Arabidopsis thaliana: one gene and its partners. The protein of the gene in region 1 binds, or shares a complex with, the protein of each later gene. Each region holds a gene or a part of one and is shown in the gene's direction. Other genes may lie near its edges. The genes, in order: AT3G27360, SHH1, AT5G46910 and JMJ14.

What was found.
Region 2: the proteins of AT3G27360 (region 1) and SHH1 are in contact, whole or in part, in a crystal structure (PDB 4IUR), measured with the Arabidopsis thaliana proteins. Residues at the interface, in NP_189372.1 of Arabidopsis thaliana: Thr4 (codon at 1,958), Lys5 (codon at 1,961), Gln6 (codon at 1,964), Thr7 (codon at 1,967), Ala8 (codon at 1,970), Arg9 (codon at 1,973), Lys10 (codon at 1,976), Ser11 (codon at 1,979); in NP_849666.2 of Arabidopsis thaliana: Glu130, Ser133, Arg135, Asp136, Tyr140, Asp141, Phe162, Phe165, His169, Arg182, Ser183, Pro185, Leu201, Phe203, Glu205, Arg206, Glu207, Asp208, Gln209, Ala210, Leu211, Tyr212, Glu250, Arg251.
Region 3: the proteins of AT3G27360 (region 1) and AT5G46910 are in contact, whole or in part, in a crystal structure (PDB 6IP4), measured with the Arabidopsis thaliana proteins. Residues at the interface, in NP_189372.1 of Arabidopsis thaliana: Ala26 (codon at 2,024), Arg27 (codon at 2,027), Lys28 (codon at 2,030), Ser29 (codon at 2,033), Ala30 (codon at 2,036), Pro31 (codon at 2,039), Ala32 (codon at 2,042); in NP_199502.2 of Arabidopsis thaliana: Arg161 (codon at 3,484), Val176 (codon at 3,529), Phe179 (codon at 3,538), Asp234 (codon at 3,782), Asp236 (codon at 3,788), Ser272 (codon at 4,030), Ile273 (codon at 4,033), Pro274 (codon at 4,036), Gly275 (codon at 4,130), Met280 (codon at 4,145), Tyr282 (codon at 4,151), Glu295 (codon at 4,190), Asp296 (codon at 4,193), Ser301 (codon at 4,208), Ala400 (codon at 4,702), Val401 (codon at 4,705), Asn402 (codon at 4,708), Leu427 (codon at 4,783).
Region 4: the proteins of AT3G27360 (region 1) and JMJ14 are in contact, whole or in part, in a crystal structure (PDB 5YKO), measured with the Arabidopsis thaliana proteins. Residues at the interface, in NP_189372.1 of Arabidopsis thaliana: Arg3 (codon at 1,955), Thr4 (codon at 1,958), Lys5 (codon at 1,961), Gln6 (codon at 1,964), Thr7 (codon at 1,967), Ala8 (codon at 1,970); in NP_193773.2 of Arabidopsis thaliana: Phe171 (codon at 3,111), Asp239 (codon at 3,444), Glu285 (codon at 3,582), Cys287 (codon at 3,588), Ile289 (codon at 3,594), Ser290 (codon at 3,597), Gly291 (codon at 3,600), Val292 (codon at 3,603), Trp296 (codon at 3,615), Tyr298 (codon at 3,621), His309 (codon at 3,914), Val310 (codon at 3,917), Glu311 (codon at 3,920), Asp312 (codon at 3,923), Ser317 (codon at 3,938), Gln361 (codon at 4,070), Leu362 (codon at 4,073), Val363 (codon at 4,224), Ala409 (codon at 4,362), Val410 (codon at 4,365), Asn411 (codon at 4,368), Ser436 (codon at 4,443), Leu437 (codon at 4,446), Ser438 (codon at 4,449), Glu516 (codon at 4,873).

The regions. Positions count from the first base shown.
Region 1 is NC_003074.8:10,128,565-10,131,817, reverse strand, and holds AT3G27360 (Histone superfamily protein), read left to right. Parts: upstream 1-1,880; 5' UTR 1,881-1,948; coding exon 1,949-2,359; 3' UTR 2,360-2,713; downstream 2,714-3,253. Other genes in the region: SDH2-1 (succinate dehydrogenase 2-1), read left to right, coding at 444-609. UniProt on the Arabidopsis thaliana protein: Core component of nucleosome. Nucleosomes wrap and compact DNA into chromatin, limiting DNA accessibility to the cellular machineries which require DNA as a template.
Region 2 is NC_003070.9:5,236,070-5,240,231, forward strand, and holds SHH1 (SAWADEE HOMEODOMAIN protein), read left to right. Parts: upstream 1-1,974; 5' UTR 1,975-2,026; coding exon 2,027-2,080; intron 2,081-2,159; coding exon 2,160-2,245; intron 2,246-2,404; coding exon 2,405-2,450; intron 2,451-2,539; coding exon 2,540-2,708; intron 2,709-2,785; coding exon 2,786-2,846; intron 2,847-3,112; coding exon 3,113-3,164; coding exon of another isoform or gene 3,165-3,188; intron 3,189-3,225; coding exon 3,226-3,369; intron 3,370-3,461; coding exon 3,462-3,644; downstream 3,645-4,162. Other genes in the region: ABCG35 (pleiotropic drug resistance 7), read right to left, coding at 1-504. UniProt on the Arabidopsis thaliana protein: Involved in RNA-directed DNA methylation (RdDM). Required for the silencing of some endogenous RdDM targets and accumulation of 24-nt siRNAs, but not for the production of Pol V-dependent transcripts.
Region 3 is NC_003076.8:19,044,755-19,051,903, forward strand, and holds AT5G46910 (Transcription factor jumonji (jmj) family protein / zinc finger (C5HC2 type) family protein), read left to right. Parts: upstream 1-1,584; 5' UTR 1,585-2,133; coding exon 2,134-2,136; exon of another isoform or gene 2,137-2,165; intron 2,166-2,785; coding exon 2,786-3,173; intron 3,174-3,394; coding exon 3,395-3,551; intron 3,552-3,630; coding exon 3,631-3,850; intron 3,851-3,984; coding exon 3,985-4,038; intron 4,039-4,129; coding exon 4,130-4,209; intron 4,210-4,314; coding exon 4,315-4,592; intron 4,593-4,684; coding exon 4,685-5,080; intron 5,081-5,164; coding exon 5,165-5,505; coding exon of another isoform or gene 5,506-5,529; exon of another isoform or gene 5,530-5,590; coding exon 5,591-5,824; intron 5,825-5,913; coding exon 5,914-6,126; 3' UTR 6,127-6,625; downstream 6,626-7,149. Other genes in the region: AT5G46915 (transcriptional factor B3 family protein), read right to left, coding at 6,814-7,080. UniProt on the Arabidopsis thaliana protein: Histone demethylase that demethylates 'Lys-27' (H3K27me) of histone H3 with a specific activity for H3K27me3 and involved in the regulation of gene expression. Acts as a temperature and photoperiod dependent flowering repressor.
Region 4 is NC_003075.7:11,006,982-11,014,345, forward strand, and holds JMJ14 (JUMONJI 14), read left to right. Parts: upstream 1-1,576; 5' UTR 1,577-1,837; intron 1,838-1,975; 5' UTR 1,976-2,022; coding exon 2,023-2,064; intron 2,065-2,205; coding exon 2,206-2,277; intron 2,278-2,614; coding exon 2,615-2,692; intron 2,693-2,711; exon of another isoform or gene 2,712-2,771; coding exon of another isoform or gene 2,772-2,792; coding exon 2,793-3,299; intron 3,300-3,428; coding exon 3,429-3,653; intron 3,654-3,913; coding exon 3,914-4,075; intron 4,076-4,223; coding exon 4,224-4,592; intron 4,593-4,782; coding exon 4,783-5,599; intron 5,600-5,690; coding exon 5,691-5,794; intron 5,795-5,897; coding exon 5,898-6,095; intron 6,096-6,316; coding exon 6,317-6,607; 3' UTR 6,608-6,861; downstream 6,862-7,364. Other genes in the region: AT4G20390 (Uncharacterized protein family (UPF0497)), read left to right, coding at 87-298, 390-513, 631-888; GSNAP (gamma-soluble NSF attachment protein), read right to left, coding at 7,118-7,210. UniProt on the Arabidopsis thaliana protein: Transcriptional repressor. Histone demethylase that demethylates 'Lys-4' (H3K4me) of histone H3 with a higher activity for H3K4me3 and H3K4me2 than H3K4me1. No activity on H3K9me3/2, H3K36me3/2 and H3K27me3/2.

The DNA.
Region 1 (3,253 bases):
AAAAGATTGTTTGAAGGATTGGTATGTTGAAAATGGATATAGAAGTTGGCTTTTTGGGGAATTGAATTCCAATTGTAGGACTAGGAAACGATTTATCTTGTAGTCTGATTTTGGAGTTTGCATGGATGGTTGGGAAGATTTTGTATATCTTGTTGTTTAGCTGCATTGATTCTCATTCAAGTCTATTTTGATGGAAAGTGGTTGCAAATTGTAGAACTAGGAACCCTTCACTCTTGGAATTTGCTTTCAGAATTTGCATGGATGGTTGGGAAGATTCTCATATATTGTTGTTAGCTGCATTGATTTCACTTATGTGGTTCTTCACTACTGTATTACTGTCTGAATTGTTGTTTTGGTTTAGGAAGCTGATCTATATATGGGGCATTCAATAGAAATTTGACCTTTCGATGTGTTTGTAACAAGAGACTTGTTGGTATGTGTAGGTGGATAAGCGACAGTCGTGATGAGTACACTAAGGAAAGACTTGAGGCTATTGACGACGAGTTCAAGCTTTACCGTTGCCATACAATCTTGAATTGTGCTCGTGCCTGTCCAAAGGGTTTGAACCCAGGAAAACAGATTACTCACATCAAGCAACTTCAGCGTTGAAACAGCTAAGTTTGTGTGCGGGATCCGTTGGGAAACTCATCAGTCTTAACGTTTGAAGCTAATAATCTTCACAAAACCTCTTCGGATTTTCAATTCATTCTTGTATTGTTGTTGCCAAATATTAGCGCCTTAAAAAAACTCGTTTGCAAGTCTTCCCAAGTAGATGAGCTTTGTGGTTGTATCTTGCTGAAAATCTCCTCTTTAAGTAATAAAACTCGAGTAAACTTAAACCTCATCTACTTATCATCTACTCTTTTGTGTTCCCTCTGCATTGGCCTATGATAAAATCATTTCATGTACTTGTGTCTCTGCCTTCTGTACACATGAACACAACGTGATGTATTATCAATCATAGCTTAATCATAGAAAAGTATCAATCATAACTTCCTTGACATTTATGATTGACTGCGTAAGTATAACTGCAAGTACTGATCACACAACAAACAAGAAAGATGACACCGGCAACACTAGCTATATTCTTTGTCTCTTTGGTTACTATTGGAACAGCAACCGATGTTGCTCCAGCAACTAAACAACAGTTTGAGTTCTTTCCGAGCTTGCGGGAGCATCAGAAGTCTCTATTTGTTACTGTGGAAGGTACCATAGCTTCGAATACTAGTTCTAGAAAGTAAAAACAACGATAATGTTTTTTAACTGTGGAAGGTACCATTGCTTTTTGTTGTTGTTCTTCACGTGCAGGCTGCAACAACCATTGCCTAACAGCTTGCTGTGACTGCAACATAGAAAAACAGCCTCCCGTTTGTGTTCAGTGTTGCCCGATTTGAGCCTTGAACTCCTTATGTTCATGTATGTTTGAAGACTAGAGACAATGTAGAAGATTTAAAACACAATTCAGGATGTCAAACTTGTGAAACAGAGGAAGCTTATGTGATATTTTATAAGTAAAAAAAACAGATATCACAAATAGAGAGAGATCAGAGTTTGTATTGTAAAAGCCTACAAATTTTCGCAATCTGTTGATGGAATAAATTCATTGAACAGATCGTAATATCAAAGATGAAAACACTTCTGTCTCACTCAGAGTCTTTGGATCACAAACACCGTTACACATCGCAATAATTAACACGTCATCATAAATATCCCACGTGTAGAATCCTCGACAACTGAAAGAATCACTCTGATTGGTTACTTAACATACGACGCAGATAGCAAAGATAAAAACAATCTTGACCGTTTAGAGGAAAACACATCTAACGGACCAAATTCTCTCTTCTTTGAGTATAAAAAAGCATCCCAACCTCACTCTGTATATACCAATCAAACACGACAGTCTCAACAATCAAAAGCTTCAAATTTTTCATTGTCAAGAATTCTCAAAATGGCTAGAACAAAGCAAACAGCTAGAAAATCCACCGGAGGAAAAGCTCCTAGAAAGCAACTGGCGACGAAAGCAGCAAGGAAATCAGCTCCAGCCACCGGAGGAGTGAAGAAGCCACACAGATTCCGTCCAGGAACAGTAGCGTTACGTGAAATCAGAAAGTATCAAAAAAGCACAGAGCTTTTGATCCGTAAGCTTCCTTTCCAGAGATTGGTTCGTGAGATAGCTCAAGATTTCAAGACGGATCTTAGGTTTCAGAGTAGTGCAGTCGCAGCTCTTCAAGAAGCAGCTGAAGCTTATTTGGTTGGATTGTTTGAAGATACTAATCTTTGTGCTATTCATGCTAAGAGGGTTACGATTATGCCTAAGGATATTCAACTTGCGAGGAGGATTAGAGGTGAGAGGGCTTAAGATTTGAAGAAGATGAAGAAGAAAAACAATGGTCTAGTGTAGATTTGCTTGTTTGCTCTCATAAGATTTGTAGATTCATGTTTTAGATTTGGTTTTGAGTTTTCTTAGTCTTTTGTTCTGAAGTGTCTTCCAGATGTTCGATGAAATGCCCAAATGAAAATTTAATCTACTTTTGCAACTTTCTAAGAATCAGTCTTCAGTTTAACTTATTAGATTTGCAATTGAAGTTGTCATTTTGGTTGTAACTTATTTGTATATTGTTACATCTGTATTCAGGTCTTAGTGACTTGTGTCAAAATGGTTCTAATTTATTGACCAAAGCAGGGTTAATCATTTTATTTTCCTGCAGCATAATCTTCTCTCTGTTATCAAAGTCCTCTTTCAGTGGTGAGAATTATGTGTTATTTTATCGATTAATTCATCACAATAAGTTTAAGAAATTACCAATGTACTGTTGGTCAGTGGTAAATTTTTTAGGTGGAGGTGCTGAGTTCGAGGTGGAAGGTATCTCTTTTCCAAAAGAGTTGAATTTAACCTGATGTAGAGAAGATATATGATTTTTAGATTTGAACTTTCAGATATTAAAAAAAAAAAAGGTTTAAGAAATTGAATCAAAGTTTTTTTAAATTGTGAGTACTAAGTATAAACAATAATGTAACCTCAAATTCTAAATTCATATATGTTCTGTTTTTTTTTTCTTTTCTGTAATGGCAAAGATAAAGAAGTCTTCAATTATTTAAGACCTGCACGTTATCTATAACAACAACTCATTGACTTAACCCACAAACTACTCTTGTTGTTGGATGTTACGTTTTGACTCCATTAAAGCTCTTCTTGGCTTATATATCATTCAAGCTAACTTCCAAATTCGAAAAATCTCTCTCTCTCTTTCAT
Region 2 (4,162 bases), on another chromosome or scaffold:
AGCAGCTTCTCCCATGTTTCTCACCGCGTTAAGAAGCGAAGGAAGAGATCTATCACCGGTGTAACAGTCAGCTTTCACAGTCAAGTGGTCGTACCTCACTTCTACTGTCGGAAGTTGGATCCCAACTCTGTCGATTCTGTTTCTTAGCTTTGTCAAGATCCGTTCGTTGTCCTGCTCTGCGACTTTGAAGACCATGTCGATGAACTTCTGACGTTCTTCGCCGTCAAGCTTCGTGACGTCAACTGCTTTGTTGAGGATTTGGTTACCGTAGACGTCGTCTTCGCCTAATTCAGGCATGAGACTTGTGCGGAGACGGTTGTAGGTAGGGAGTTTCTCGATGGAAGCCCATTTGAGAGCTTCTTCGTCTTCGTTGACAGATTTGGTTCGTCTAGAGCTTGTATTGAATATGTCTTCCATGTTTCTGCTTGCTTTGCTTACACTACGACTTATGGTTTGCCGCATACTCCCACCTCTGCTCATAGCATGAGCTGGATCGTAATCCATCTTTAGATCTTATGAATCTTGATCCTGTTTCTATTAAGTTAAGTGCTTCTTCTTCTTTCTTTTAGACTATTAGACTGATAGGATCCATATGTGAGTAGAAGAAACGGATGATATGTAAATTTCGTTGAAGAAAACAGAGAAAGAGATAAGCAAAGATGGTGTGTTTGTCAGTGCCTCTGCAGCATTGAGAGAGAAAAGAGTAAGGGACAATGACGAGTGCAAGCTCCCCCTCTGGTGCTCTCTGTTATTTTATCACAATCTCCAATGAAAACTATAAAGAAAAGCACCACTTGATTGTGCCTTTTAAATTCTTGTGATTATTATAGTAATCCATGCAATAATGAAACATCTTTTAACAGGATGGCCCATGTGGAAAATGAAGGATGCCTAGTCAATCATACACGAGTTAAAAATTCGATTTATACGTTTGTATAAGGTTGGTGCTTAATGATGTAGACAGGTTGTCTTTTTTTGGCTTGATTGGTTTTGTTTTTCCTCACCTTCTATTGTCAACAATAGAGCAGGTGGCCTTTTTAAATTAATAAAAGATTGACGGATTCAAGAGATGGCAATGGACCAATGGTGATAAGAATGAGAGGAGTGATTAGTGCAGAACAGGTATAGAAAATTTGGGACTTATGTAAGAAATTGAATTAGTCTACTACGATTAGTTATATTTGGTTATGACTTACTAGTAGACCTCGTACCAACTACACACAATCTACAAATGTCAAAGTAACTCGTTATGAGTTCAAACATCTTGACCCCAATTTATGGATGCTATTAGCTTTGTTAATCAAGTAAAGTTATAGTATATCTACTGCGTGCGTGATTAGTTAAATACCGTAATTAATACGTAACACAGAATGACAGCTATGTAACCGAGTACAAATCCCTGATTAAATTTTCTATGTTTGCGTGTTTGTGTCTCGGTCAAAATCAATCAGGGCCTTTGCCATCATTTTCAAATTTGTGCGTTTAAAATGCTTTAAAGCACGTGTAATTAACTAACTAATTACAATAATGTATATTTGATATGTTTAGTAACGAATCTTGTATTGGAGAAATAAGGGCCTGGGTTGTCGCCAACAAAAGAAGGTAGAGCCTTAGTGAGGATTAGCTGTGATTAAATTATATACTTATACATGCTATGATAGTATTTGATTAATAATGTCAGTAATCATGAATATTAATAAACACTCCACCACGCACCACCAGCTCATATGACTTGGAAGATTCCCCGCGGACGGGTTCCCTCATCCTGTCTCGATTGTTTCAAAGTCATTTATAAATATTAAATAATAGTACAGTTATATGAGTGTGGTTAAAATAAAATAATAGACGGTCCAAAAAACAAGCATATGGGTAATAAATTAGTGAGTTTAAGCCCATTTATATTATTATTATCCATTTTAGGCCCATTAACCCACTAAAGCTCACTGAACTCTGAAGGCATCAGTGTAGTAGCAAATTAGCTCAAGATCCTTTTCACTTCTTCTTCTTCTTCCTTGTGCGCTCGATAATGGCTGCTTCCGATGATTCCTCTCACTATTTCACCGAGTTTACCTTGTCTGAGGTTATCTATGCTTTCTATCATTCGTTTTCTTAGATTAGAGATTCATGCTTTGTGATCTTATTGCTCTTCTTATTCGAAGATTGTAGACATGGAGAATCTGTATAAGGAGCTCGGTGACCAATCTCTCCACAAAGATTTCTGTCAAACTGTTGCCTCTACTTTTAGGTACTTTATTCTGAATTTTACGAGAATTTGATCATGTGAATGTGTTTGTTAGAGAATCGAGACACAAGCATTTTGTGGATTTATAGGAATAGTAGGATTATTGATTTTCATGCACAGTATCTAAAAAATCTTTATGTCTTCTTCCATTTTCTCTTATAGTTGTTCTGTGAATCGGAATGGCAAATCCTCTATAACCTGGAAACAGGTGCGTCTCTTTTTTCTTCATAGAGCTAACTGGTAAAAAATGCAAATAGAGTAGAAATAACTTTTTTTTTTGAATCAAAATGTTTTCAGGTACAGATTTGGTTCCAGGAGAAGCTGAAGCATCAAAGCCAACCAAAATCCAAAACTTTGCCATCTCCCCCTTTGCAGATTCATGACTTATCTAATCCCAGTTCTTATGCTTCAAATGCCTCAAATGCTACCTTTGTTGGGAATTCTACCTTTGTTCAAACACGAAAAGGTTTTCCTTTTCTTGTGTGCCATATTTGATTCTTTTAGTTAACGCCTTATAACGCCTATGAACATTTTCATACACAGGCAAGGCCTCTGATTTAGCTGATCTGGCTTTTGAGGCTAAATCAGCGCGGGACTACGCGTGGTAAGAACGTTTCCTTGCATTGAATATCATGTTTCTATTTTTGCTTTAACTCTTGGACTACTGCTAGCATATGACTTTGTTAAGTGGCCTAAGTAAGAACCTGAAATGTGAACTCTCTGTTGATTGTTAACTCAACGAGGAATGCCCTTACCTATTCAGTGTGAACTTAAGAAAGAACGTTATTCATATAAAGCCTAATTTTTGGACTTGTAATATACGTTTGTGTTTTATATCTGTGCTTATTTGCTGGAATTCTGGTCTTTCAGGTATGACGTGTCTTCGTTCCTTACTTATAGAGTTCTTCGCACTGGTGAACTGGTAAGCTTTTTCTCTTTTGTTTAATGGATGATTTGTTTGCAACTAAGAGTGTCTGCAACAGGAAGTGCGTGTACGGTTTTCTGGGTTCGACAACCGACACGATGAGTGGGTAAACGTCAAAACATCAGTGCGTGAGCGGTCTATTCCTGTAGAACCATCAGAGTGTGGGAGAGTGAACGTTGGAGACCTGCTTCTATGTTTCCAAGTAAGGCTGACTTTGATCTAATTATGAAGGATGGAACATTTAACAAAAGAAATTTGAACTTAAAAATGAAAGTTGGGGTGGTTAATGAGCAGGAAAGAGAGGATCAAGCACTCTACTGTGATGGTCATGTTTTGAATATCAAGAGAGGGATTCATGATCACGCGAGATGTAACTGCGTGTTTCTTGTTCGCTACGAGCTTGACAATACAGAGGTAAGAAGATTGATCTCAGCCTTTTTGTTGGGTGTGGGAACTATTGACGAAGTTTTGTGTTAAGTGTATGTTCAGGAATCGCTGGGACTAGAAAGAATTTGCCGCCGCCCTGAAGAGTAATTTTTTTTGGTTTTGAAGTCATATTTGGAAGATGCAGTAAACTATGACTATATAGTATATGACTGACCCAAAAATGGAATAACATGCTCATGTATAGACTTCCACTACTAAGTACCTACCGGCCCTAGGATTCTATGTTAGTTTTTTTCTGTCAACTATGTGGAATAAAGTGCAAAAGCTTAGAATTGTAAAGGGAATGGTGATGGTACAATGTAATAATACCCAAATGCTTAACCAGTTAACACCCTATGTAATGTTCAACATACAGTCTCATTCTTGTGAGCAAGACTATTTCTTTCTGTTTACTCATTGCTTCTTGTATATACAATACGCAGGTCAATACATTTTGTGAGCTTCGGCTTATTAAGATAAAGATGTGGAAAAAAGCTCATTTAGCACAAAAACTATTTGGAAAGAAATAAATCTTTGTGCCGAAAGTAATATAACTATCGACCCGCTCT
Region 3 (7,149 bases), on another chromosome or scaffold:
AAAATATTTTAGGAAAATAGTATGATAGTATAGACGTGTGATCTCTAAAACAAAAGTGGGATAATTAACAAAGACTTAGAAGAGAGTGACATACATTTTTATTTTTCAACATTCAAATCTATGATCTTTTCTTTTAAAAAGGGAATAGGAGATTTAAGAAAATATAGAAAGAAGGTCATAAAAGAAAATTAAAATATAACTAAATTATAGTAAAATGGACGTATCTGTTAGAAAAATAGACAAAATAGTCTTTCATATAATGTCAAATGGAAGTTATGAACCAATGGTTTATATAAGAAGAGGGATATAAATGACACAGAAATAATAAACTAGTAAAAGAATGGTTTGGACATTATTGGATATGAACAAGAAGAACAAATAAACTAAGAGAAAATAGGCAAAAAAAAAACATCGAATTTTTTGTCTGTCATTCAAATAGGTTTAACTACGACAACAAGTGAATATTTTTTGGGTGGGTCTAGTCGAATATTCTAACCACTACATAGATTGGGAAAGCTAAACTAAGAAGCCTAAGACCAAGCAGAACCGGTTACAGAGTAGCTAAACCGCAAGGACTGAAACCGGTTAATGAAGCCGAGCCACATTGGTATGGTACAGCTTTCGTTTTCGCTGACTTCACAAAACTAATCATTATACCTAACTCATCACAGTTTATTTATTTATAAGAAAAGAGAAACCGAAATTAAGAATGGACCAATGGATTTCTGTTGGGATAATGGCTTTAACCGGGAACCGGAAAACCCGGTGAGCTCACCACCACCCACAGTAACAGTAACCAAGAAAAACAATTGTCTTCCCAATGCACCTGCCACGTGTATAGAGACAGTACAGAAGTGTCACCACGTTTCGACTTTCTGTTGTTTAAATGACTTGAATACCCTCCGTTATGACACTATTTTACTGTTTGAAGGAAACGCAAGATTGATGAAACGGCGTTTTAATGGGTTGGCAGCGTTTGGTTGAACCACCTAACAACCACCACTTTCCTTCACACTTATAGTTCCTTTTTTTTTATTTTTTTATTTTATTTTCTGTTGGGAATCTATTTTTTCTTTATTTTTTTATTAAGCATTTGGTCTTAAACAATTATAAAAATAAAGCTGATTGGTACAAGTATTAAAAAGGAAAAAAGGCTGACTGATAATGGAGTTGATTAGCTACAGCTATAGATTAATAATAGCTGAAACCTTTTATTTAATATTTGTTTACTGGAAAATAGTGGTTGTAAATTTCAAACAAATAAAATGTACATCTTTTTAAATTTAGAACAAATATAACAAAAGTAAACATTAGTTTGTTAGAAATTTTTAAAAATATAAAAATATTTAATTTTTGATTAGACTATTCACTTTTTCTTTAAATAAGATATATTTTAATATGATTGGATTATACTTTGCTTAAAATCTTGGGATGTTTATGAAATGACTTAAAAATTCTTAAAATAGATCATGACCGCACCAATCGCAGCAAAACGGTAGGAGCGTTCATTAGACACCTAATTGGCTAATTGATATGGCTTGTGAAGAATTTGGGAACCTTCCCGATATTCACCAATATTTAATTATAATTTGTTGTTTTCTTTAGAATTTTAATTAGGAACGGCTTTTGTGTTAAAATTACGGTGGCCACTAAAGCATACACGTTTTGGAGTATAAAACTATAAATTATACATTCATAACAATTTTTTCCGGTTTTCCAAGTTTCTTCCTCTCTCGGTCCTCTTTTAGCATCTCTACAGTTTCTCTCTCCTCTACCGCCGGAAAAAAAAAACGATTTCTCCGGCCGGTTTTGGTTTCTCCGTTCCGTTAATAGCCTTCGTTTTCTCGTCCTTGGAATCGTCCTCTGGTTGATTTCTGAATGTTCGTTTGACTCGGCTACGCGGCGATTCGGATCTCCGTGTTTGACTCGGTCCCTGGCTCGTTACGCGGCGTTTTCGTAGAATGTGGTTTACTTTGTTTGCATGCCAGGCTTTGTATTGAATTCGTGGGGCGAGATCGTGATCTAGGGTTTCGTCTCTGTTCTTTTGGTTCGTTGCTTGTTGTGGTCGCTTTTTGTTTCTTAATCCGGCTGAAGAAAACGAAAGTCTACAGAGATAATAGATTACGGAATGATATGGTGAGATGATTTCCCCTCTCTGATTTTAGTCAATTTTGTTGTTTAACGATTTTGGAATTCTCGTGAATTTTTGTTGTTAACGATTTTGTTGGATCAGATCTCTAACATTGCTCGATTTTTTTAGAGTTTCTGCTATTTTTTTTCTTGAATTGGTTACTCTTTTTTTTACTCTGCTTCGTTGTTTGATCCTTCTCTATGGAGAATCTCACGTTTTGTTGCTATTTTTGTGAACTTGAGATTTGAGCTCTGTTGAAATGGCGGCGAATCTTCACGTAGGTCAAATGATTGTGTGTATGAGAGGAAGTTGTCGATGGTTTCTAAGTTGTGACTCGCGTTCTTCGAGGGTGTTGAAATTAGAAATTGTCACATTCTTTGACTTTGTAGGGTATTGGTCAAAGAGATAAGGCTGTACCAGGAAGTGAAAATGCTTATATACCTTTTGAAACTTCTAGGTGTTGACTGTTTCCGTTTTCTGTGTTCACTTTTTATGTTTCTTAGCTTTTTGTGGAGTTATAATATTTTGGAGCTATAGTGGGTTAAGTGTGAATGGTTGACCTATTGTGTATCTATGACTCCTGTATATGGTATTTGTAGTATGAACTTTTGATATGTATCTAGAGGAATGTTTGCTGACACTTGGTTTTGTCAGGCGGAAAGGAGGATCTGCTTGTCTAAAGAGGCTAAGGATGGGTTAGAATTTCTGAAACGTAAAAAGCTTCAAAAAATGAGATCAGACTCTGTCAATGAAACAGTAGGCTTCAGCACAATGGCTAGAAGTGGTGGTGATGCTTTGAGACCAACTTCAGCGTCATGTGGAATGAGATTACGGGTAACTTCTAGTGATACAGTATCTAAAGTGCATGGTGCATCTACTGTGAGAGGTGGCTTGATGAAGGAAAAAGTGGAGAAGCTTGAGACAGATGATCTAAAATGGACCGAGAGGCTTCCAGAATGTCCTGTCTACAGACCAACAAAGGAGGAGTTTGAGGATCCTCTGACTTATTTGCAGAAGATTTTCCCAGAAGCTTCAAAATATGGTAAAACAAAAATCTCAATATGCAAGTAGTAGAATTGTGCTTCTTAATTTTCATGGCTTCATAAGTTTGTTGAAGCCATTGATTGGTGTTGTCTATAAAATGGAAAGAAAAATGTGATGTAGGCAATATAGAAGACTTGTATCCTTTCATAGACATTTAACTGTAATTAATCTCATTATGTATTTCTATCCAATCTCATATTCTGCCTCTGTCGTTTGTAGGTATTTGCAAGATTGTATCTCCTTTGACAGCAACAGTTCCTGCTGGCGCTGTGTTGATGAAAGAGAAATCAAACTTTAAGTTCACTACCAGAGTACAACCCCTTCGACTTGCTGAGTGGGATTCTGATGATAAAGTTACATTCTTCATGAGTGGGAGGTTTGTTATTAAACCTATTACCATTTAGCTCTACATCTTCACTTTATAGTTTGTATTTAATTATTTGTAAACTACTCAGGACCTATACATTTCGCGACTATGAGAAAATGGCGAACAAGGTATTTGCACGCAGATATTGCAGTGGTGGCTCTTTGCCCGACTCATTCTTGGAGAAAGAATTCTGGAAGGAAATTGCGTGTGGCAAGACTGAAACAGTTGAGTATGCGTGTGATGTAGATGGTAGCGCATTTTCATCTGCACCAGGTGACCCACTAGGAAGCAGCAAATGGAACTTGAATGTATTGATTTACTACAACTTAAGCTTCTCCCTTTTCTATTCTTTTTTGGTTAAGCATTAAAGATATCATATGCTTGCATATGCATCGTTATTTACATTTGGTAGTTATATGGCTTTTTATATCTCTACTTTCAGAAAGTTTCAAGGCTTCCTAAGTCTACCCTGCGCCTTCTTGAAACATCCATTCCGGTATGTGAGAAGTAGTACAGTTATATTTAGTCACAAGATCACTTTAGAGGTTTCTGCTAATTCTCTTCTAACTTGGATTTGCTTGTTTCAGGGAGTCACAGAACCCATGCTTTACATCGGAATGCTTTTCAGTATGTTTGCCTGGCATGTTGAGGACCATTATTTGTACAGGTAACAAGAGTTTAACGAATTTTGGTTAAAAGTATATGGGTTACTAAATGTGGCAATCCAAAGAATGTTAATCTCCTTTTTTTCTGACCTTCTTTCCCAACACAGCATTAATTACCAACATTGTGGAGCATCAAAAACTTGGTATGGGATTCCAGGTTCCGCAGCTCTAAAATTTGAAAAGGTGGTTAAAGAGTGTGTGTACAATGATGATATTCTATCAACTAATGGAGAAGATGGTGCCTTTGACGTGCTTCTGGGGAAGACAACTATATTCCCCCCAAAGACTCTGTTGGATCATAATGTGCCAGTGTATAAAGCTGTGCAAAAACCTGGAGAATTTGTTGTCACATTCCCCAGGGCTTATCATGCTGGTTTCAGCCACGGTAAAACAAAATTGTCTGAATCTACTTTTTTTTGTTGGTCAGAGATGTGGTATCATCTTCAACTGAAATTGTGGTTGTGTGAAAAATTGTAGGTTTTAATTGTGGTGAGGCAGTGAACTTTGCGATGGGTGATTGGTTTCCATTTGGAGCTATTGCCAGTTGCCGGTATGCTCATCTTAACCGAGTACCGTTGCTTCCTCATGAAGAATTGATTTGTAAAGAGGCAATGCTCTTGAACTCAAGTTCCAAATCCGAGAATCTGGATCTTACACCTACAGAATTGTCAGGACAACGAAGCATCAAGACTGCATTTGTACACCTGATTCGTTTTCTTCATCTTGCTCGATGGTCTCTAATGAAGTCAGGATTATGCACAGGCCTTGTTTCGAATACATATGGAACCATAGTCTGCAGTTTGTGTAAACGGGATTGCTATTTGGCATTTATCAACTGCGAGTGTTACTCACACCCCGTTTGTCTACGTCATGGTAAATTTTTTTCTCTGTCATCTCTATCCATACACATCCTTCATTATTGTTTTCTAATTGATGGTGCTACCGTGTATTATCTAGATGTTAAAAAGCTTGACCTTCCATGTGGGACAACGCATACTCTTTACTTGAGAGACAACATTGAAGACATGGAAGCTGCTGCAATGAAGTTTGAGAAGGAAGATGGAGTTTCAGATTTGATTACAACTGATGAAGATTTATATAAGTATCCATCATCGATTACACTTCCAGCTGCGAAAGAAGACGGATATACACCGTATTCCACTATATACTTTGATTTCTATACTGAGGTAGAGATGACATCTCATGACCAGTTGCAATCGGGAAATCCCGTCATGAGTTATGAGGCAAACGCTTCATGTATCTCCTCAGTTGCTGATGATTATGAATGCTCTGATTACGTAAGTTTTACCACGAATCTGTGACAAACTTTATCTGACCGTCTCTTTCTTCAAATATCTGATTTCTGTTTTCTTCTAAAAGCAGGTAAATAGACGAGCTAACTGTAGCAGCAGTAGTGATTCAAAGCTCTCGGAAGAAGTAGCATGCAGCAGTAGCAAAAAAACTCGGTTCTTCCCTGTGGTTCAAGATGAACAACTAGTTGCGGATCAGGAAAGTGATGGATCTGATTCCGAGTGTTTTAGAGTCAAACGCCGTTCTTCATTGAAGTTTGAGAACCGAACAGTTGTTCTAGACACAAGAGAGTCTGACCATCATCAGGTACTGAAAGCCATATACTTATAAATATTAACTCTCTATTAAACAGTGTTCATAGACTGTAAAACCCTGAGATTTTTCGTGTTTATTAGGAACTTAAGAGACTGAAGAAATCGCATCATCACGAAGGAAGATATAGTAGTAGCAGTAGTGTTAGTAGGCAAGAAGAAGAAGAAGATGAGTTAGTAATTTCAAACAGGAAAGAAACTCAGCAACAAAGTGACGTGAAGATGCAGAAGAAGAGGATCGAGAATCATTTTGGTGGCTTTAAACGTCTGAAAGTGAAAGGGCTAATAAAGCCGTAACGTGACAGCTTCAAGTTTCCTCCTAACTACAATTCTTTTAAATTGGCTGATCTCTAACAATACAGGAAAAGCAAAAAAAAAAAGGAATCAAAAGCAAAAAAAAATATTCAGTATCTGATTTTATTGTCATTATTTTTTTTAATCATGGGAGAAAGAAGAAGAAGAAGCAACAGACAAAAGAAGGAAAAAAGCATTTAACCAGCCAAGCCAACCAACCAACCAACCAACCAACACTATTGGTTTCTTTTTAGGATTTACCAAATCTTTGATTCTTTGTGCACATCTGTACACACCTTTTTTAATCTCTTCTTGTTCCTTCTTCTTTTCTTACGATGTAAATCTCTTTTTTCTCCTTTAAGTGGTATTTGTTGTTGTTCATGATTATGCATAGAAATCCCAATTCTCTCTTTAAAAAGATTATGAACAACTTCCACCTACTAGAACCGGAGGAACACAATTTTCTTTCCTTGCATACAAAACTTACAGATAAAGCCATCATGTTAGTACACGTTCGAAAGTTTCTTCTCATGCCAATAAAAGTTACCATTAGGTTAATAATAATCGGTCCCAACTCCCAACATATTAAGCTACAGAGACACATTCGACAGACAAGAAGCAAAGTACAGATGCCAACTTAAACCAAACTAAAGTCTTAAGACAACATGAATAAATAGAAAGATCTTTTCCTCAGTAATTTCTTCTCACCCTCACATCCATCATCATTAGGGTTTGGAGACAACTAGAAGTAGCTCCTCCGGTTTGATGAATGTAAACTTGCAGGTATATATCCCCAACAACAAGGGGATACTCTTTAACCAAACATTGCCATCCACCAGAGAAAGCTCCATAACTCCCCAGATACACCACATTCCAAAATTTCTTCCCATTTGGATGATGGACTTTGAATATTGTTTTCTCAACCGGCATTTGATCCTTAACAGAACTTCGGATCCTCTACACACTCAAAAAAAGTTTGATTCACATATCAGTTTTTTTTATAAAAACAATCATTGCTCAATACAG
Region 4 (7,364 bases), on another chromosome or scaffold:
ACAAGACCAAACTCTTTCCATATAAATACTCTTTAACACTGACACAAAGTTTCATCACTTTCTCTTGATCACTCACTGCATCAACAATGGCCAGAGAGAAGATTGTGGTGGCTGGTGGTACCACAAAGAGCTGGAAACTACTCTTGGGGCTGAGAATATTTGCATTCATGGCTACTTTAGCTGCAGCCATTGTAATGTCACTAAACAAAGAGACAAAGACCTTGGTTGTGGCCACCATTGGTACTGTTCCTATTAAAGCCACTTTAACCGCTAAGTTTCAGCACACACCGGCTTTTGTGTAAGCGAGTAAAACCCTATACGAAATCGATTCGATACATATTGAAAGCAAAATGTTTTTGAGTTATTAACATTGATTCTTGGTTTTACAGGTTCTTTGTTATAGCTAATGTAATGGTGAGCTTCCACAACTTGTTGATGATTGTGGTTCAGATTTTCAGCCGGAAACTGGAGTACAAAGGTCTTCGTCTCCTCTCTATCGCCATTCTTGACATGGTATAAACATTGGTTTTCAAATCAATTTACTGGTTTGATTTCAATTGAATTAGTTTGAACGTTTGGAAAAAAAGCTAAACGGTTTCTTGATAATCTAAAAAAACGTTGGAAAAAAAGCTAAACGCAACACTAGTATCTGCGGCTGCAAACGCGGCGGTGTTCGTGGCAGAGCTAGGGAAGAACGGAAACAAGCACGCCAAGTGGAACAAAGTCTGCGACAGGTTCACCACTTACTGTGATCACGGCGCAGGAGCAATCATCGCAGCATTCGCCGGAGTCATTCTAATGCTCCTCGTGTCCGCCGTCTCTATTTCCCGCCTCTTAATCAATTCTAAAAACTTCTCCACCACCGCCACCACAACCTCCGTCGTCTAAAACATCGTGGCCAAAAATTCAGCAACATGTGTGTGACCATTTTATAGATGTTGTGGCTTACTTTGTGTGTTTGTCTCTCAAGTCACTAGCAAATTGTGTAATGCACTCCTTTGTTCTATCACTTTCACATTTGTATTCAAGTTTTCATTTCTCTCTTATCTTTTTATATAATTCTAAAATGACAAAAAAAAATTCACAAAGTATATAGTACATTGAAACAATGAGAAAAATCTACAATAGATGATTAGATAAGACCAATTCAAGATAATTTATACCTTTTATTTCTCAACTACTTCTTCTATTTATGGAAATATAATTCTAATCAATTGTTAGTTTTTTACATTAAAATGAATTATATCAACCGACTAAAAAACAAATCAGTATTAGTTCTATCGCATTGTAGTTCCCATACAACTTAATTTTTGTGTTGTAAATAATGATCCTACTGTCTCTAATAAATGTGAATCAATAATCATAACTATTGAAATCCTTTTCTTTTTGGTTAGTAAAAATGAAGTGTAAATAGTATAACTGTTTAATTTAGTTCAGATATACAAATCAACAAAACTACTTAATTTGAAGATTAATTCAGTTTTTTTTTTTTTTTAATTTTCTGTTTATAAAACTACTGAATTTTATTTGGTATAAATGGATTGAAGATTTTATTACAAAACAAAATCACATTTGGCGGCTTCTTCTTTTTATGTTCTAAACCCTTTTCTTAGATCGGACTCCAAGAAATCTACTTGCTTTAATCGTTAACCTAATAAATTCTTCTCTAAGTTTTTTTTTTCTTAACTCATCAAAGAAGGAAAGAAAAAAAAAAACCTCTTTCACAGATATTTAACCAAAAGGTTTTAGATTTATACTATACGTTACAAATAAAATTCGAGAGTCAAATTCAATCTTGGGAAAAGCTTTTGTTCCGAATCTTGGCCCCTTCACGAAGGTACACTTATCATCTCACTCTCTATTTCCAGACACAAATCTATATGCGTTCTGGGTTTTTTTAGGGTTTCGAAAACGGCACTGCATTTCATCAAGTAAGGGTTTGTTTTTTATTTAACAGATCTTTGTTCTTCCTTAGGTCACGGGTTAAAAGTATCGATCTTTGTGAACTTAATCTCACTGTAAATGGATCAGCTTGCATCTCTAGCAGAGTCTGTGGCTATGGAGGTTTCTCATCTTTATCCTTTTGCTTCTTTGATTTGTGTTTTTTGCTTTCTCCTCCATTTGTAACCTCTAATTTGCATGTTTGCTAGATTCAATTAGCACTGTTGCAGTTTCTGAATGTGGAATTGTGTTTATTTCTTGCAGGAAGATTCTGAGAAACAATCGATTAAAGGAGAGAGTAGTCTTGAACCTGACTCTACTCCTTCTAGTCCTAAAGTAAGTTAATTGGGTTTCTAGCAAAGTATTGGTTGGGTAAAGAGGTTGATGGCTTATCTATGTGCTAAACCCGTTTGAGTCTGAAAATCCAATCAATTCTAGTTTTAATTAAGTTCGTGGCTTTTGCTTATCAGTATCTTCCTTCAAAGATCTCATCTTTCTGAGAGTCGTTCTTATTGTATTTGTTTTAGATTAAGCAAAATCTATTTACTTGGGTCTTAAGAATTTAGCAATCTCATCTGGATCTTATTAGATTGTTTGTTGTGTTAGCTATCTGATTGTCCAAGAGCAGATGAATCTGATTCATGAATGATATCGTTTTGTTGCGTATTTGAAGATAACTGCTAGGTGGAATCCATCAGAAGCTTGCAGGCCTTTGGTTGATGACGCTCCCATCTTTTATCCCACTAATGAGGTATTTAAAATACTCGAGTTGCAATTTTGGTTCTGTCTTGGTAGTTAAATTGTTATCTTATCTGAAAATTTTGATCCTTATGATACTGCTTCATGGTCAGGATTTTGATGATCCACTTGGTTACATAGAGAAGTTGCGCTCTAAAGCAGAATCATATGGCATATGTCGAATTGTGCCGCCTGTTGCATGGAGGCCCCCTTGCCCTCTGAAGGAGAAAAAAATATGGGAGAATTCTAAATTTCCCACCCGGATTCAGTTCATTGACTTGCTTCAAAACCGAGAACCGATTAAAAAATCTACTAAAACCAAGAAGAGAAAACGGAGAAGAATCTCTAAAATTGGATACACAAGAAGAAAAAGAGATTCAGGCTGTGATACGGCTTCCTCTGGCTCTAGTGATAGTGAAGGAAAATTTGGTTTTCAGACTGGGCCAGATTTTACCCTGGAAGAATTTCAGAAGTATGATGAATACTTTAAGGAATGCTATTTTCAGTCAGAGGATCATCCTGGTTCCAAAGCGTCTGAAAATAAGAAATTTAAACCTAAGGTTAAGGACCTTGAAGGTGAATATTGGCGGATAGTGGAGCAGGCAACTGATGAAGTAGAGGTATGTACATGCAGCAATATAATGACATATCAACTATTTGTGTCTTTCTTGGTTTCACCATTTTCTTTTGCATTTATTTGAATTTGATGTTCTTCGAACTTGCTACTCTTGTTTTTGGTCCTATGACAGGTGTACTATGGAGCTGACTTGGAAACAAAGAAATTTGGAAGTGGTTTCCCAAAGTATAAACCGGGGTATCCTATAAGTGAAGCAGATCAATACTCTCAATGTGGTTGGAACCTAAATAATTTGTCCCGTCTGCCCGGATCAGTTCTAGCTTTTGAGAGCTGCGATATCTCAGGAGTCATTGTGCCATGGCTTTATGTTGGAATGTGCTTTTCAACTTTTTGTTGGGTAAGTTTCATTTTCTTAGGGTAGACTCTTGCTAATTACTGAATCGCATGAATAATCTTTTGATATTTCCTGGAAATTATATGTTGCTGAAAAAAAGCTGATGGAGTTCTATTAAAACCTGTTATTGAATCAAAATTTTATTACTTAAAGGATGTCATGCCTTTGGGACCAAAGTTATGGAATTGATGCATTTTTTGTGTGCTTTCTAGGAGCTATGTACTAACCATCTGCTATTTACCCCCTTACTTTGTTTGAAACAGCATGTTGAAGATCATCACCTTTATTCCATGAACTACTTACACACAGGTGATCCAAAAGTTTGGTATGGGATCCCTGGAAACCATGCTGAGTCTTTTGAAAATGTAATGAAAAAGCGTCTTCCAGATTTGTTTGAAGAACAGCCTGACTTGCTACATCAACTGGTGAAAGTTTCTCCCAATTCGTTTTTCATTTCAAGCTCTGCTGATTAATTAGAACTCCTTACGTGTGTAATTTTGGAGATGATATGGCGAGAGCTGTCTTTTGGTTAAGATAATATGTATCTCACTCTGCACCTCCTATTGTTATCAGGTCACTCAGTTATCTCCAAGAATCTTAAAAGAGGAGGGAGTACCTGTCTATCGAGCTGTCCAGCGCAGTGGAGAATTCATTCTAACCTTCCCTAAGGCCTATCATTCTGGGTTTAATTGTGGTTTCAACTGTGCGGAAGCAGTAAATGTTGCACCAGTTGATTGGCTGGTTCATGGACAGAATGCAGTGGAAGGCTATAGCAAGCAGCGGCGAAAGAGTTCATTGTCACATGACAAGCTGCTTCTTGGAGCTGCTATGGAAGCTACTTATTGCCTCTGGGAGCTTTCACTTTCAAAGAAGAAGACTCCTGTGATTGCGAGATGGAAAAGGGTTTGTAGTGAGGATGGATTGCTTACGAAGGCAGTCAAGGTAATTTTGGTTCTCTGTTCTTTTTTCTGTGTGCATGCATGTACAATACACACTCAAAAAAGCATAGGCTATATGTTACATTTCATAGATTGACAACTATCCTCTGAAGTAATAGTGTACTAGTCTACCTGATTTTTGATAAGATTGAAACAAACATCTTCAATGGCACTAACATAGCTGTGGTTAGCAGAAGCGTGTGCAGATGGAAGAAGAAAGACTAAATCACCTTCAAGATGGTTTTAGCTTGCGAAAGATGGAGGGTGATTTCGACAATAAGAGAGAACGGGAGTGCTTCTTGTGCTTCTATGATTTGCATATGTCTGCTTCAAGCTGCAAGTGTTCCCCCAACCGGTTTGCATGTCTTATCCACGCTAAGGATCTGTGTTCATGTGAAAGTAAGGATAGATATATCCTAATTCGCCACACCTTGGATGAGTTATGGGCACTGGTCAGAGCTCTAGAAGGGGATCTTGATGCCATAGACCTATGGGCAAGTAAATGTCGTGACCAGTATCCTTCACAGCATCCAAGAGCAAGAGAATATGCTTACCTCAAGTCTGCCCCATGTATAAAGAGCCGTGGTTCATCAAAAGTACAGCAGCGAGAACAAAACAATCTTCAGTTAGTGTCTGAACGCTTACAAAGTGATCTAACCTCAAACAAGGAAGTTCAGTTGAAACAAGATGGTGATTCAGATGTAAATCGCCATGGTCATGAAAGCGAAAGAAATCATGTACATGGGATCACTGATAAGTCAGCTGTCACGGATGTAAAACTTGGTGTGGGAGGTAAGTTTGATGAGAAGAAGATTTCGGTTGAATCTCAAAACCCACATTCAGTTTCAGATGTAGGGTGTAGCGAGCTGGCGAAGAAAGTGGATGGTTGTTTAGGAGGGAAGGACCAAAATGCTGCAACCAATAGGTTAAGTCTCTCTGTTGAGCTTTTGAGTTCTGGATCTCTCGTTGTTAAAAAGCTGTGGTGCAGTAAACAGGCCATATACCCAAAAGGTGATGAATTGAGAATTTTGGATGAGCTTTATACTTTAGTATTTTATTTTTTATGTCTTCTGAGACTTTTGCTTTTGATTGTATGTTACAGGGTTCAAGAGCCGTGTTAAGTTCTTAAGTGTGCTTGACCCAACAAACCTAACCAACTACATCTCAGAGGTTCTGGATGCAGGGCTTCTTGGTCCATTGTTCAGGGTACACTAACTACGTAGTGGTTTCGAGAATATAACTGAATATCTATTTATCATGCAGAACACATGAAGGTGGTAAGTTACTGATCAATCAGTATTATTTCCAGGTCTCAGTAGAAGATTACCCCACTGAGAATTTCTCGAATGTATCTGCTGAAAAGTGCTGGCAAATGGTGACACAAAGGCTCAAACTCGAAATCATCAAGAAATGTGATCAACCAGTTAGCTCTTTGACCTCTTTACAACCTTTGGAGAGTATAAATGGGCTTGAAATGTTTGGATTTCTCTCCCCGCACGTAATTAAGGTGACAATCAATTTCTCATGCATAGCCATAAAACTATGATATCCTGAATCTTCTTGCGGTGGAAAGTTTTTTTTTTTTTTTTTTTCTTCTACTTTGCTGGATGAGAGAAGCTCCCATCTTCTGTTTCAGTCCCCTTGAGCATCTCTCTTACTCGCCTACATGACCAAATTTCCATATGTACTTTTTAGCGTTTTGGACTGAAAGTTGACCATTGTGCACAGGTGGTTGAGGCTCTTGATCCAAAGCATCAATTGGAGGAGTATTGGAACCAAAAAGCAGTGAAACTGTTTGGTGCTGAACCAATAAAGGAAGGAGAAAAGGATGATACAGAGAAAGGAGGGGCTTCAGATCCCTCTTTGGACCGGGACACAAGGCTTCTGCGTGGACTGTTGAAGAAGGCGACACCTGAAGAATTAGTAATGATGCATGGACTTCTGTGTGGTGAGACTCGCAACACCGAGCTCAAGGAAGAGCTCTCTACTTTGGTTGATAAGATGGAGATAAGTCCTTAAGGAGGAGCAAGCAGATAAACACACTAACACCCTTTGAAGTTGATTGTGTTTGTTGTTCCTTTGGTTATAAACTGTATCAGTAGAGAAATCTAGAGAGGCAATACAAAAGTAGACAAAAGGGTTACTTCGTTGACATGTCTTTCCTTTTTACCAAAAAAGGGTTTAGGATTAATGATTGTATTATACTGTGTTGCATTTGCAATGTACCATTGTTCTCTATATTTCATTTGCTTATTTGTAACAGCTTTTATGATTAGTAGACGATTTCAAACAACAACCAGATCCAAAATTGAACCAACCTGTATGAGCTGTTGTAACAAGATAAAATAACATACTTTAGAGTTTTAGCTGCTCGTGTTTTAAGAAAAATACATGCATAAATTCGAATTTAGAGCCTATATAATCAATCTTTCCCACAGTACTTGGGACAAACGATAATATGTTTTTTTTGAATCTTTGGACTGAAAAGAAGCCAAGTGTAAATATGAATATGTACAAAGAGGAGAAACTTTAAGTGAGATCATCCTCGTCTAGATCGTCATTAGTGTTCATCTGAATTGCAGTAACATCTCCAGTGGGTAGCTTCCTAGCCAACTTGATAATCTGCAGACAAAATACTTATCCGTATAAGATTCCAGTAGTTTAATGAAACATTCTGTGATCATATGGTGTCACAATAACCAGCATAATGCAGAACAAATACATTCGGAAACACAGAAAGACATAATTAGGATTAGGATTCGACAGATCATTTAAG